Arabidopsis thaliana: one gene and its partners. The protein of the gene in region 2 interacts with the protein of the main gene of each other region in a pairwise test. Each region holds a gene or a part of one and is shown on either strand. Other genes may lie near its edges.

Region 1 (4,440 bases), on a different chromosome or scaffold from region 2:
CATACAGGTCACAGGATTTTTGGTCCGGGAAACAAAACAGAACCTCCATTATATTTACGGATTGTTAGTGTCTTTGAATATTTCTGATTATCCAAATCTGTAGAGAGATTGGAATACGTGATCCTAGATTCAAATCGTTTTGAATTGTCTCCTCTCTTAAATCTTTACGTGTTTGATTTCAATGTAATTTAATAAGGAAACATTGTTATATTCAATAGATGGCTTATTCAGAACCATTGTAACTCTGGGATAACTTCTCTTTTTCTGTGAAACTGACTGTAGTAGCCAACACAACAAATAAAAGACAGTAAAACAAAAGCTGTGAAGTTCTCATCCATTAAACTTTTAAAATAACCCACATTCTATTAGGATCCATCATTCAAAAGATGCAGCAACACACAACACACAAAAAACAATGAAGTAGGAATAACATAAAACATCCAAAAGCAGAAATTATTTTCTTGTTGAATAAGTAACATCAAACTCCAGCTAGCGTTTGCAAACTTTGTAAAGAAAGTTTGTTTCTTGATGTTCAAATTTAGCTCCTCAACATTCAACTCCTTCCATTCATCGATGAGCTCTTTAATTGTTTCAGCTCCAAGATTCTTCAAGTTTGGAAACATCAACTTCTTTTGATATTCACTTAAACCTTGAAACAATATAACAGCCTCAAGTGCATCCTTCAGAGCACACAAGTCATCTTCCTCACTCTTCTCCTTGTCACCATTATCAGTCTCCATATTATTGTAATTCAACAGCTGCTTACATCGGGTTACGTATAAGTAAAAAAGCATCAAACTTTTAGACCATCTCCAATGCCTAACTCTATTTTAGAAGAAATATAGTTGATTTTGCTCCAATGTATGACTCTAAAATAGAGAAAAATATAGAGTAGTCTTATTTTTTACTCTATATATAGAGAGCAATCTCTACACTTTTCCTCTATTTTAGAGTTAACTCTATTTTGAAAATACAATGGAGCAAAATTAACTATATTTTCTCTAAAATAGAATCATCTCTAAAATAAAGGAAAAAATAGAGTTAGGCATTGGAGATGTTCTTACATAAAGAAGAGAAAGAGAAGGAATACACACTCACAGTTTTGATCTTGTCGATACTCTCCTCGGAAGCACATTCTGTTTCTGATTCTAAGTCTGATATTATGATCGTTGGCATTTTGGACGCTTCTTCATGCGGACGTTTTTTTCTACGTCGGAATTCAAAGCCACCCGTGTAGGAGTCGTCGCTGCTGGAATCATTTCCCTCATTATCCATTTTGACAAGGGACCAAAAGAATCAAACTTGGCAACGTTTGGGAAATAAAAGTTCCAAAACTAAAACTGCCACTATTGAGAGGGAAGAGTGTGAGGAACCTGTTTTTAAACAAATACCAGAGAGAGGGAAGAGCAAACGTTGAATTGGAAAAATGCACTCTACCTTGAATTATATATTACTGTAACTTTAAACCAAGAAGTATGAAATTATATATGTAAATCGTGTGATATGAAATTTCTTGTATCTTTTATGTCTACAGTCTTTTTTTTTTCTTACAGCAATTTTTATGTCTACAGTCTACTTGATGAAATTTCTCACAAATTACTGAAGTAGAAAATGTCCTGATTTAATATATGAAAGACTAAAGCTAAATAACTTTGGGTATAAAATAAATTAGATTGGGCCATGTTAGCCCATTAACATTTTTTTATATCGGCCCAATTAGGGACACACATAAACCCTTAAGACAAACATGTTATAAAAGTGGCGGCTTCAGTCGAAATTAGGGTTTCGCGTTAGGAGAAGAAGTTAAAGCAAAACACATACAAACGCAGTCACCTTCTCTATCGCCTCCTTCTTCAATCTCATCGCAATCATGGTAACATCTCTAAACCCTAAATCACTCCTTACGTGAATCAAATACTGATTTCAAAATGCTGAGTATACTCAAACTGTATATAAAAAAGCTAATCTTGTTTCTCGTATTTGCAGATCATATCAGAGACTAACCGCCGTGAGATCTCCAAGTACCTCTTCAAAGGTACCATTTTGATTTGAGCTTATGAATCTAGTTGTCTTCTACGTTAATGGGTTTATGCATGATGATTGATTGGTTGATTCAAGAGAATTGTACTTAGAAATGGTTGGAATTGGTTCTTTTTGTGTGCAGAGGGTGTTTTGTTTGCTAAAAAGGATTTCAACTTACCACAACATCCTTTGATTGAGAGTGTTCCAAATCTGCAAGTTATCAAGTTGATGCAGAGTTTCAAATCTAAGGAATATGTGAGAGAGACCTTTGCTTGGATGCATTACTACTGGTTCCTCACAAATGAAGGTATTGACTTTCTCAGGACTTACCTTAATCTCCCATCTGAGATTGTTCCTGCTACTTTGAAGAAGCAACAGAAGCCTCTTGGTCGACCTTTTGGAGGTGGTGGTGACCGTCCCCGGTAATCAATTTGAATCTTCAATTCTCAGTCTTGTTATTGTATCATGGTTACTTGTTAAGTGTTGATATGTGACGGTGTTGATTTGGTTTTATACAGTGGCCCTCCTCGTGGTGATGGAGAGAGGAGGTTTGGTGACAGAGATGGATACCGTGGAGGTCCTAAATCAGGTGGAGAGTATGGTGACAAGGCTGGAGCACCTGCTGATTACCAGCCTGGCTTCAGGGTACCAAATCTCTCCTTTCTTGTCAAACTCTTGTGAACACTTTTATTTGTTACGCATTAGTATCATGCTTAATTTTGAGGAAACTTCTGAAGCCACTATCTTTCAACAACATGTTGTGTTCTTAGGTTCCCTAAATCATTTTATGAACTCTGTCTGATAAGCACCTTGTGTAAATTGCTTTGCTTTAATCTGTTGTGCACTTGGCTTCCCTAAATATTCGATGCTCTGCCACTAGGTCTTTCTATCATGAGTAATGGTGGTTTCATGATTGCTAGAATGCAATGCAATTATGTTGGTGTGTAATTAAATGTTTTGGTTATGTACAGGGTGGAGCTGGTGGAGCTAGGCAAGGGTTTGGTCGTGGAGCTGGTGGTTTCGGTGGTGGTGCTGCTGGATCTGATCTTCCTTGAAAAGGACTTTCTTGTTTCTTTTTGGTCTTATTTAAGGTTACATAGTACCTTTGATTTGAGAACGAATGTGTCTTTTGGAACTTTGTTTCTTTCTCTAAAACCATCTCACAATATGATTGTTTTTTACGTTAGAATTTTATGAAGAAATGTTGGATCGTTACATGAATCTTTTTACACTGTCCTCCATTTTAAATTCTCCTATTTAGTTTTTTTTCGCAGCTTACAAGTGACGTGTATATATAAAGTTCTGTTAAAACTGTTGTATGAATAATCATGAAAAATATCGATATTACTGAAATCTAGATGTTGAAATTTTACACTCATATGCACAAAACAACGTAAAAGAGAAACCCAACAGCATCATCATACGTATGGTTTCTTTTCAAATGATGATGCTGTTGGGTTTCTTTTTTACGTTTACATTCAAATGAGCAGATCAATAATGCTATTCTAAACTACTTTGTTTCATCCTTTTGCCTCAGCGTAGGTTTCTTGATTTGGACCAAACTTGGTCGATAGAATTGGCCTTCAGATACTCTGAGATCCAAAATTCTTAAGTATCAATGAAGAAAATAATTGGAAATAAGTTAGCTTCCGTATCCATTCCTGCAATGAAGTCTTGCCTAAAATCATCTTATGAACTCTTTGACTATTAGTTACTCATTAGTATCTTGTTAAATTGTCGTGTGTTAACTCTTTTGTGCTCTTGCACTTGCTTATTTCATTGTTTGCGAACCTCTTTCATTGAATTATAAACATTCTCTCGTACAACTACTCAAATCACATAACCAAACTTATTTGTTTAATGCTGTTCAAATGGCTTGAAAATATGTTTAATTTTGTTGAAACATCCTGAAATAGATGAGATCGACATGCTCTCATGTTACTGATATTGCTAAGAATGTAAATAGAAAAAAATAAAAAAATAAAATGTTGAGGTACTAGCTACATTAAATGCTATAACTTAGAAACCAATCTCAATTTTGCGCCTAATCATCCCGTTTACTCGGTTTTGCACATCCTCCTACCAATATCAATAACTGATATTGATTAGCTTTTTCCATTGCGCGCAAGTCTCAAAATGTTTTGAGCAAATCGACGGTTTTCTAAACTACGTTGTTTTCTCAGTCTGTCTCGTGCAAGTTTCTTGACTTGGACCAAACTTGGAACATAAGAGCATGGCGAACGGTATTGGATATTCTCGAATTTTCTTAAGAATCCAGTCTCTCCAACGACGTTAAGAAATAATAACTTGGGATATTCTCCATGATCAAATCCCATGAAAACTTTCTTCTCTTCGTCAATGTAGAAAGTAAGTGGAAGCTCCATCTTAGGTCTCATATCCATTCTCAAGAACTTGCTC
Region 2 (7,068 bases):
TACCTGAGAATTTACCATTTGTTGGAATAACCTTAGTTTACCTTGCCGATTATCTGATTGGATAGACTCGGATGATTAACGGGTTTGGAGAAAACAAACCTTGAAGATAAAGAGGCAATTATCTGGTTGCTGTCTTGAGAAGTTGGGCGTGGCTTCTGTCTGTAGTAACGCATGAATTCACGGGACCCGAGAGTTTTAGACGTTGTTGTGTTCTCGGACTTCTCCGTGATCAAGAGCTCAGAACCACCAACGAGTTCTACAGTATTGTCTGTTTCACCAGATACAACAATTTGCTTTCCAGCTTCATCAACATAGCTGCTCAATTCATATATTCCAAAGAAAGGTGCGGATTAAGATTTGGCATAGAACGAGGAATACAGGCGAGAACAAGAATAATCAGAGATAGAAGAGAGTTGAAACCTGCTGCTGTAGTCATAAAACTCTTCTAGCTCAGCATCTTCTTCATCATCACCATCACCATAATGCAGTTTGCAATGACTCTTTGCTTCCATATGTTTTCTTACAGCTTCTAAGCTGCTGAATGGACGGCACAGCTCATTGCAGTACAGACACATGAAGTCTCTCTTGACCTAAATGATGAGCAATGTATAAGTAAACAGGAGTAAGAATTTCAAAGCTTGACAACAACGAACACTGAATGGTAAATTGATGAGTCCAAACCTTAAGACCAAGGTAAGTGAGAAGCCCTTCAGGATCCTTGAGATACTCAATATCGGGAATAAAGAAACCATGATGCTTATGCATGTGAAGCATACAGCTCTCTAAGGTCTTATGTTTTTTGTCACACATCAAACAGCAGGTTGGATCCAGCTCATACTTATCTGCATCACCATCATCATCCATATCTTCAGCAGATCCAGACTCATTCACATTCAACTTAGACAAAGAATCAGAGGCTTCTTCAGCAGCCAATTCCTCGTCAGAATCAACCTCCACCCATTCATCTTCACTATCATCATCAATGGAACCCCTGTGTTGAACACGGCGAGGAAGTTGCCTGATAATCGCTATATCCTCCTCTCCGTTGATTGATGTCCCTTGTGAAACCCGCAAAACATGGCTACGCGACTGAAGATGCTGCTCATGAGCCTTGGAACTCCTGTAACCTTTAGCACAGATTGCACAAGTATAAAGCATAGGTGCTTCATTTGATTTATTCTTCTCCTGAGCAAGAGCAGATTGTCTAGCCTCAAACAAGGCTTCTGTAACTCCAGGAACTCCAGCCACCTAACATAAAAAATTACAGAAATACAAAGATTCAAATGCCTAGAAGTAACCAAATCTATGATTATTGAAATCCTTGTTCCTTAGTAGAATAAGCTTCAAAACAAATTTTCATATAAACTCTACGATTCCATAACCTTAACTAAACAATTTCGATAGCAAAATGGAAAAGCTGTTTCTCAGAAACTTTCATCTCATCACCGACGCAAGATTTTCCCGAGAAACAGATAGGCTTGAGTTCAAATTCGATAGAGAAAGCAGAAGAAATGAAACCTTGCGCTTGAGATTGTAGCGGTGCCAATCGGATTTGTAATGAAGGTTACGTTCTTCTTCGTCCTTGAACTCCATGTTACACGCGTTACATGTTAAACCAGGCATCTTCTCTCCTTCAATATCGATCGATTCTAGAAATGGAAACTGGAGAAGAAAAGAAAATCAGAGAAAAGATAGTTGGGAGGATAAGATTTGTTGTTGATATGTGTAGAGCAACGACGGCTCGTAAATGGATCGGCGATCGTGTTTGTCTCTAAAAAAGCGTCGATTGATGATGATTGATTGCCATCAAAATGAAAAGGAAGGCGCCCCGCCCATTTTAGATCCGATCGGGTTGGAACTGACCCGTTCCTGACCCGATACAAGAGTAGCCCATTTGGCCCATTCTTTTAGCCTTTTTGTAACACTGACACAGTTGACGAATTAAGTATTACTGTATGAGTAACCAAAAAACATTTTTCTAATATTGTTTTTAAAATAACTACTTACAACTTGATTAATTACTTCGTTTAATCATGTAACTTTTTTTTCTTCCAAATTCTAATCTCTCTATTAAATTACTGCATTTATAAGATCTAAACATCATGTGATATGTTCAAAATATGAAAAGAGAAGAATATAATACATGATTTTACTACGATTAATTTTTTTTAATCGCAATGTTTTGTTTTTGCCTAATTTTATTAGTGGAAGAAATTTTAACCGCAGGCCTGTAATTTAGGAAACTAACTATTCACCCCCAATTAAAAAAAAAAACAAGAAGACGACAAATAACGAGAAATTACCAATTTTTCCTCAACACTTTCATTATTTCCTACAACGAACTTCTCCCTCCTCCTCTCACTTTCACCATGGATTCCGTCTCCGGTTACGCCGCCGGAGCAGGTCAGCCTCGAGTCGGTGGGAAAATTGTTCGACCACGACGCACCGCTGTTGTCAGGACGCCGTGTGAGCGCCCCGTTCAGAGATCCCGAGATCCTCCTCAGCAAAACCCTAGTTGGATCTCCAGGCTCGTTTACAAACCCGCCAGCGTAATTGCTTCCGGCGCCGGAAAATTCATTTCTTCCGTCGTCTTCTCCGACTCTTCCTCATCTTCGGAGGAGGACGAGGATTCATCTTCAGGTTTGTACCATTTATTTCAGTTTAGATAGGATTAATTTGAATTTTTGGTTTATTGTCTGGTCGAATCTGAAAGCTACCGTTTCGTTTGAAATGTGAAGTTTGACTTAAAGCTTTCCCATTTTCTCTTTCCTTTAATATGTGGGACTTAAGAGCAGTTAAGCATTGTTGTACTCTATTTAGTTAGGTTACTTCTAAGCTATAAACTTCATACTAATTCTAAAGCTCTAATTTTTATTCATATAATGTAGTTCTGGGATTGAGAATACCAACCAGCTTTGTTGTGTCTTATTCTTTTAATGTATGGATTTTTATATGTTTTCTTCTTTGTTTGCAGATATTGATGGTGATGAGGATGTTGAGAAGAACAATCCCGATTTTACTGAAGAGGTACTAACCACCTTGTTCGTTTTGGTGATTGCTATGCCACTGTAGTCCTATGATAATTGTTTGAAGTAAAGTTCGTGAAGCTAACACGTTTTCAACTGAGAGTTTTTTTTATAAAAGCATAATTTCAGTTTTTGTGCTTGTGTGAATAGGACCTTCTGAGTGCCCAGCAACCAAGCATTCAACGACTCAGTTCTAAGCGTGTAATTGAGCAGCTTCTCTTGCAAGAAACATTTGCAAGGTATTTCTCTGCCTGGCTTTTTGGACATCATAAGTAGCAGCCTCCTCGACTATTCTTATTATTTACACCTCATAGCTTAAAGAATCTTTCTGAGACGTGTGTAGTTACCAAATCTAAGCTGATCTTGTATCCTGCTTATTCATTCATGTGTATGTTGTTTCAGGGAAGAGGGTGATAGGTTAATAGATATCATCAAGGCTAGGGTTGTAGATCATCCCAGCGTCCCCTCTGCTATTGAGACGAGTCATGATGACTATGGATTGACAAGCGGTATGTTACTGATGGTAGACTGTGCAAGTAGACCGGATTAGTCTATGTGATAACGTCTTCTTTTCTATTTTATTTCTAGACGTGAATGTGGGTGAAATGTCCAATACAGCTGTCATGGAAGCAAGAAAATGGTTGGAGGAGAAGAAATCAGGATCAAGTTCAAAGTATAAAGTAAGTTCTGGAAACTTGCTTCTTAACTGTTCTAATTGCTGCAGCCTGCAGGTATCAACTTTTTTGTGATATCTTGTCTCCGTGCTCTAAGCCATTATTATTATAGAAGGAGACATCTTCTGTTTGGGTAAAATGATTTGATTGTTATATGCCAATCCATGTGATCAGCAACTTAAAGCTCTCTTGCAAAAGTAGGTTGTTCAGAATTCTGCGTGTGGCCATCTGGTGACGTTAATTCTGAAATGTCCTGATTGGGAAATACCTTTTTGTCCGCTTAAAATGCAAAAGATCCATATTGTTGCTCTTCTTTTGACTATGAAGACCATTTACTTACATGATTTTGGTCAACTTCTGATAGCTTCGCTTCACAGTATTCTTTTTCCATTGTACTTTAAATGATGATCACCATCTCAGCCATTAGTTTAAATCTCCAGGCAACTGAAGATGGTGCTGGATCGCCTGTGGACGTGGCCAAGTCTTATATGCGAGCTCGTCTGCCATGGGGATCTCCAGCTGCGAATAATTTAGATTTTCGATCACCATCATCAGCAAGAGTGCAAGGGACACCCCTTCCTTATAGCGCTGGAAACTTTTCCTCATCCAAGGTTAGAATTTTAAGTTCTCCAGCAGTGCATACTTTTCTTTTGGTCAAATGTTGTTTGAAAGTCTGAAGTCGTTTCATCTTGGTTTATGAGATAAAATTCTCTGCTTAACTTCTATTGTTTATGTTAGATAACCACGAGGAATTTGTGGGACACTATTTCCAGCTATTCCTAAAGAAAAGTTGCATACCGTTATATGTATTTTCAATGGCTCTCTCAAATTTACCCTTATTCATTCTGACATTGGTTACCAAATGCAGCTGAAAAGGAAGTCCGGTTCTAATCAGTCATGGAATATTCAAGATGAAATTCGCAAAGTCAGAGCTAAAGCAACCGAGGAAATGCTTAAAAGTCCCAGTAGTGTAGCCTCTTTGGAACCTAAATACAGCCCCTATGTTTTAGCGACTGATATGCTCAAAGGAAATGCTTCGTCTTTGAATGCTGATGGAGGTGTTTTTTTTCTTTCTTTATTCACACGTGGAAGAAGTTTTTCAGTAAGACATGAGTTGAAACTGAAATTAACTCTTCTTTTCTGTTCTTTCAGCTGTACGGAATGAACAAAGCAGAGCTCTACCAAATTCAGCCATACCTACCTCTGAGCACAATCAGGTATCAAGCACTCTTTACACTATGTGTCTCTCATTACCAAGAAAAAACTTGCAGTTCCAATCTTTCTTGTTTTGGTGTCCTTGTGTGTTTTACTTGAGTGAAGACTACGGAAGCTAATCAAGCCGTCAAAGAAACAGGAGTTTTACACACTAGATCTCGTTAGTTTCTCCCTTAATCCTTAATTTGTATACACTCTCTCATCTTCGCTTTTTATACTCTGTCTCATGGATTTAATGTGTTCTGATTAGGTGGAGTTGGTTTGGAGGAGACATTTATCTCCACACAAGGAGTCAAGCCATCTGAAGATACGAATACCGCTCCTCAAAGGTTCTTTTTATTGTGCTTATCCTTCCAACACAGATTGTACCTTGTTTCTTTTTGACAGATATGTTTTTTAGTATATCAATCTTCTGAAGTTTTTCAACTGTATGCGACAGTGGAACTGCTGTAGATGACTTCAATGATCAAGATGGCGATTTTATCCAACCTACTTCTACTATCGGAAACACCACAAATGGTATACATTGGATGTTGAATTCCTTTGGTTCTGATTTTTAGTTGGGTTCTCTTAATTTACTTGCGCTCCTATTGATGCAGCTGTCTTGGCTCTTGGGGCAACTTTGGATCCTACTGGGAACTCTTGCATCCCTAAAGATGTGTTTGAAACATCAAAAGAAGCTGATGAAATAGGCGCATCACGTCATACTTCTAACGGTTTCCCATCTTCATCACCTAGGTGAAAAGCAACTCCTTTGTCTGGCTAGTTTGACATGATGACATTATTTCCTCCTAAGCAAAGCCTTACTTTTTCAGTTCACCAGCGGTTATGGAAGGTCAACCAAAACCCACACCACCAGAAGAAACCAAGGCTTCTCAGCCTATAGCTGAAATTCATGGTGATGATATGACAGTAGGGAATGGCTCAGATGGTGCAATTAATAACGAAAGCAATGACAGCCACTCAAGTGCCTCTAACAGTTCAAGCACCCATGAAGAAGAGTGGCTCCCAGGAGACCAGTCTCTACCTAACTCAAACTCAGCAAGTAGCAGCCCGGGAAATACCAAGGTCTTGGCATACAGCAGAAGAGGAAGAGGCCGAGGTAGAGGAAGAGGCAGAGGAGGTCGAGGCAAAGGACGGGCCAAATAAACTTTGTAAGATGAGCTGTACACAACAAACACAATGCAGTAGGAGAGTATTATGATGAGGTAGGATTATGTGACATCTCTTTTAGATTTGAATCCCACTCTGTTTGTGTTTGGTCTTTGGTCACTTCGTTATCTTTTTAGGTTATCTTGTAGTATTTGAGTTAGGAGGATTTGTCTTGTCGAGTTATGTGGAATTGTGTCTCTGTTGTTTCTTTCATTTGTCTGAAATCTCTAATGTTTAATGTTGTAAGTTTGAAGCTTGGTTTCGTTCCAGCTGACGAAGCTTTGTAGTTTGCAGTTTCCATATGTTGAAACTCTTTTTCTTTTGTTCGATGCCAAATTTTTAAATCTTTTTTACTTGACCAAAAAGCCAACACCTAATTTTTTTGGGGGAAATCTCAAGTACTAACACCACTCATCTTTTAACCTCGTAAAGTGTCAAGTAAACAAATTCTGACATGATCCAATATTAGATGAGATCACTCAGATCAAAACATTGTAAGATGAATATAATCAAATGGGTTCAATCTAGTGTTACACAATCTCTTACCAAAGTACAAAAGCAATAACGAGCGAAAAGAAGAAACCCAATAACCAATTTTATCAAGACAGACAGAAAGAGAGAGAGAAAAAACAAAACAGACAGAAACAAAAGTGAAGAAAAACGAACAACAAAAACCCAATAAGCAGCGATCGAAGCTAAAATAAACACAGAAGAGCGAAAGCGCTCAGACATTCAAATCTGAAAAGCCATACGAAAGAAGAAGCCACGAAGATTCAATCGAAGCAGAAGTGTATTATTAAGAAGCCGAGAAATCATTGGGTTGGTGTCGGAACTCGGAAGTTACTTGTTTTGTTCCGATTTTTCTTTTGTCTGAATTCTTTCTGGTCAAATCTTCCAACACTTGTTCTTCTGCTTACAAGCTTGGGTCCCGCTTCTCATTGCCCGCTTCCTCCTTCTTCAATTCGAATTTCATCATTCTTTAGGCAATTCGAATCTGTTGC
Region 3 (4,110 bases), on a different chromosome or scaffold from region 2:
TAGCTCTCTTTTTATGTTTTTTTCGGAGATCATTGATTTGTCATGACGAGAGCATTTGTACACTCCAACGCGATCAATCTTTGTGTAAAGGATTTGTGTGGTGTTGATATCTTTGTTTGGAACGAAATGGATAAATATAGGTAGGCTCTAGTTGGGGATTACTTTGTTATAATTTCTAACAGGTTCTAACTACCAAAATTCAGTGGTATTTTGGTGGATTAATTTGGCCGATTAGTTGCATATTTTTAGAGTTTAGTCTATTGAGTTAAGCTAATTACTCTCTTAAAACAAATTTCGTTTATGTGATCAGTTTAAAAAATATATAATTGTTGACACAAATTGGTAAAATTTTGTCTCCGATTTTTTCAGCCAAAAAAATTTGAAACACTAGTGGTGTAGTATATATGTGATCCGCTCCATTTTTTCATATTTGATTTTCTTTCTGATTTTTAATCTATCTTGGAGGTTTAGATATTCATTACAAAAGTCAAATTTATGTTTTTGCTTCTTAGTTTTACATATCCAGAAAATTTGATTGAATATCGTATTCACTCCATAAATATTATTAAAACTAAACATATTACCTTAAAAATGTTATAAGAAATAAAATTGAATAAGAACATATTTAATGATTAATAGATATACATTTCATATTTTTATATTCATTTTTTTATAGAAATACACATGTATGCATTTTTTATGGATATTACTTTGCCCAATCATGGTTAAAGGCTTAAAGCCATAAGTGTTACAAGACTCTCAAGTCTCAATTATCATTATTGGGGAAAACTCCAGTTGACAGAATTTATATTAACACATTTGCTTACAAAGAGATCCCATTACTATCAAATTCCCACGAAATAAAACAAGTCACCACAAGTGGCCTTTCCACACTTTCTTATCTATAAAAAAAAAAAAAAAAACGTAACCGCTTAAATTGTGTTGCATGAAGCGTGAAGCATGAAGAAGAGTTTACTCACGTTACTCACGTATGTAAGTAAACAGAAACATATCACAGACTATGTGTCCCAATCAGTTTTGTCAAACCAAAAGTAACGGCCATAGCTAACCATCCTCCAATCAAAACCCTAGCCGACGACTTAAACACCGGTGCTTTCCCCAAAACCGCTCCTAACCACCCAAACATCACTAACGCCAATGTCACCGCCGCCACGATCGCTCCTATTCTCACGTGATAGTCTTTCACAAACGCAGCCGCCATTAAAGGCACAATCGCACCCAAAGAAAACGCTAACGCAGACGCGGCAGCCGCTTGCATGGGACTCGGAAGCTTCTCTTTCTCCACTTGTCCTCCGTTCTCTCTCTTCATTTGAGCCACCTCGATGTCGTACTGAGAGTAAACGGAGACAAACTCTCCGATAGCCATGCTACAAGCTCCGGCGACCAAACCGGCGAAACCAGATAAGATCATGACTTTGACGTCTTGCTTTACCGCACCGACACCCATCATAAGTGAAGCCGTCGAGACAAGACCGTCGTTGGCACCAAGCACGGCGGCTCTTAGCCATTGAGCTCTTTTGGAGTAGTCGAAAGCCTTTTCTTGATCCATCTCCATGTCTAGGTTCAAGCTGTTGCTCACGTTGTGTGATTCCATGGTAAAGTCTTTTGGGTTGGCTTTCTGTCTTTATGTTTTTGGTTTGTGCTGAAATAAGAAGGTAGAGAATATAGGTGAAGTGTGGAGAACACACGCCTAGGTTCTATTTATGGAGAGATTGTGTGAGTTTTTAGCTTTTTTTATTTAACTTTTTAAAATAATTTATGTGGTGGAGTCGACGATTAATATATGGGGAGCATCATCACCACTAACGGAAATACTTTTTATTCTGTCTTTTTCAAAAATTTAGATTAGGAAATCGAATTAACAAACATCTAATCGTTTTTACACTATGATTATAAGTTTGAAACGAACAAATGAACTTTAGAAGGAAAAAAAAAAAAGTTGATTGCCGCGTACCATCGGTAAAGATAAAGCACAACGATTGGTATAACTGTACCCCCAAAAATGGATCTCAATTGAATTAAATTCAAAAGGAACTTAATACTTTTCAAAAAAAAAGTTACAAATAATCAAATATAAGAAGAAAGGAAATGTGAAAGTATACATTTATGTGTCTTTTTCATTTCATTTGATTCGTGAAGGACAAAAAACAAATATCAATTTGAGAGACCGAAAGGGGCATGCAGTTACATACTTACACTATGGAGTTGTTAAGTCGTCGTCAAGATCAAAGCCATAATATGCATATATGTCTTCTTGGCAAAAAATTATACAAAATTAATATATAAAAATGAAATCTCAACCTCCCAAACGATTACCTAATGTTACACGAAATGTGTTGGCCAAAAGTTTATTATAAACATATAATACTTTAGTTTTCTTGGTTTTACTTTTATTACCAAGTTACCAAATTAACATTCCTTTTGGCAGCTGTACTACTATATTGACTAGAGAACACCATATTCAAATTTGGCAAATGCTTTAATCTACTTTCTTGAATAATCAATTGGGAAAAGAAATCTTCAGGAACGTCTTCGTATTCATGTACATTGTATTTTTCTTTGAAAAAATGAACTTTTTGATCGGAGTGTGGTTGGTAGTTACATTTTTTAGAAGAAACGTAACTTGGAATAATATATCAAAAGCTTTCTCAAAGTGTCAAATTTTGTCTTTTTTTCTTTTACATAACTTGAAACAAATCAGTAGCGTATATGTCATATTTATTTTATCCTATCCCCTTAATTTTAGAACACGTAAACTGTGAAAGCATTTTTCTAGTAAATAAAAATGAAACAACAATCTCATTCTTTTACTTTCTGTTTATTTTTGTTGGTTAATTATACCTTTTTTCTCGACAAAGAAACAATCCCAAAACAGAAGGGGGGCGAATCAATCACACATAGTGTTTGGATCTCTGGATTTTCTTAGAGTTTGACCAAAAGTGATCAACGGATAATCTATTTATTGATAAGACACTGTTATATTTTGGAATTGTTTGATAAGTGTAATCATATTCTACATCTTCTTTTCATTGAATTTAATAAGAGGGATTCATTAATTAGGAAGAAAAAATAGGTCAAAAAACATGGATTAGTTAATACAGCTCCTTGTTGATAAACGGACACATAATGGACGATTAAAATATGAAATAGTAGAATCCAACTATCTTATATATGAAGGGGATCAAAATTGAATCAGATACTTTTCACACTATAGATTCTTTGATCCAGCGCAATTAGAGCCGTATACAAGTGAAAATCATAAACAACAAATTAATAGTAGATAATGAACACATTACACATAAAAGCTAGGGTTTTTTTTGGTTATATAAATAAAAAAAAATAAATTTTTTGATGGATTGGTGAATTGGAAAGCACTTAGAGATAGATTTATGGTGAGATAAAATAATAGAGAGAGATCATAATAATATTAAAGAAAGAGGGACGAGTGTGGTTTCCACACGAATAGCACCACATTTCACCATCATCGTCACTTGTTTGCACACACACTAACACACATACGTAGACATCTACGTATTATGTTTCTTCATGTATATGCATGCATACGTAGTCGCCTACGTACATATATGCCAGCACATTATTAACATTCCAGAATTTACAATTTATATAGCGCATACTAACTATAAGGTAATTCTTTTTGGTTTTTTTTCCCTATGATTCACACACTGCATTCATATAATGGACAGTCCGAAATAAATAGACAATGAAGACATTAGTCGAAATTACTAAACCGCTTACGAATTATGATCACGTATGTTTTCATGAATTCAAAGTGATTGATTTATAATTCGAATGTTGGAGTACATGTTATAATGTCTCCAATATTTTTCAAGCATTGTATATATTATTACTATTAGTAGTATACACTATAGAATTTGTAGAGCGGCTTGATCAAAAGCAAAATTCATTAATTTATTATTTAAATTTGAAAATATTGATCCTAAATCAAAATAATGCATGGTAACATATATGTTAATTGTATATTCCTTATTATCTCCCTATATATGTAGTGAAAAGTATGTTATTGTGCCTTTTATAATGATAATGATGGATATAGACATGCATATGGAT

Evidence for each region.
Region 1: the proteins of AT4G31430 (region 2) and RPS10B interact in a two-hybrid assay, tested with the Arabidopsis thaliana proteins (one large-scale study listed by BioGRID).
Region 3: the proteins of AT4G31430 (region 2) and AT1G21140 interact in a two-hybrid assay, tested with the Arabidopsis thaliana proteins (one large-scale study listed by BioGRID).

What each region holds. Positions count from the first base shown.
Region 1 is NC_003076.8:16,608,014-16,612,453, reverse strand, and holds RPS10B (RNA binding Plectin/S10 domain-containing protein), read left to right. Parts: upstream 1-1,761; 5' UTR 1,762-1,870; coding exon 1,871-1,873; intron 1,874-1,986; coding exon 1,987-2,035; intron 2,036-2,164; coding exon 2,165-2,444; intron 2,445-2,540; coding exon 2,541-2,667; intron 2,668-2,993; coding exon 2,994-3,077; 3' UTR 3,078-3,433; downstream 3,434-4,440. Other genes in the region: AT5G41530 (uncharacterized protein), read right to left, coding at 366-794; AT5G41510 (F-box and associated interaction domains-containing protein), read right to left, coding at 4,128-4,440.
Region 2 is NC_003075.7:15,246,141-15,253,208, forward strand, and holds AT4G31430 (flocculation protein), read left to right. Parts: upstream 1-2,236; 5' UTR 2,237-2,369; coding exon 2,370-2,640; intron 2,641-2,974; coding exon 2,975-3,027; intron 3,028-3,176; coding exon 3,177-3,265; intron 3,266-3,428; coding exon 3,429-3,535; intron 3,536-3,614; coding exon 3,615-3,706; intron 3,707-4,140; coding exon 4,141-4,311; intron 4,312-4,568; coding exon 4,569-4,758; intron 4,759-4,852; coding exon 4,853-4,917; intron 4,918-5,020; coding exon 5,021-5,075; intron 5,076-5,165; coding exon 5,166-5,244; intron 5,245-5,354; coding exon 5,355-5,434; intron 5,435-5,514; coding exon 5,515-5,653; intron 5,654-5,730; coding exon 5,731-6,064; 3' UTR 6,065-6,419; downstream 6,420-7,068. Other genes in the region: AT4G31420 (Zinc finger protein 622), read right to left, coding at 1-3, 100-318, 421-590, 682-1,248, 1,519-1,623.
Region 3 is NC_003070.9:7,401,969-7,406,078, reverse strand, and holds AT1G21140 (Vacuolar iron transporter (VIT) family protein), read right to left. Parts: upstream 1,752-4,110; 5' UTR 1,616-1,751; coding exon 1,013-1,615; 3' UTR 653-1,012; downstream 1-652. UniProt on the Arabidopsis thaliana protein: Vacuolar iron transporter involved in the transfer of iron ions from the cytosol to the vacuole for intracellular iron storage. Involved in regulation of cellular iron homeostasis. Vacuolar iron storage is required for seed embryo and seedling development.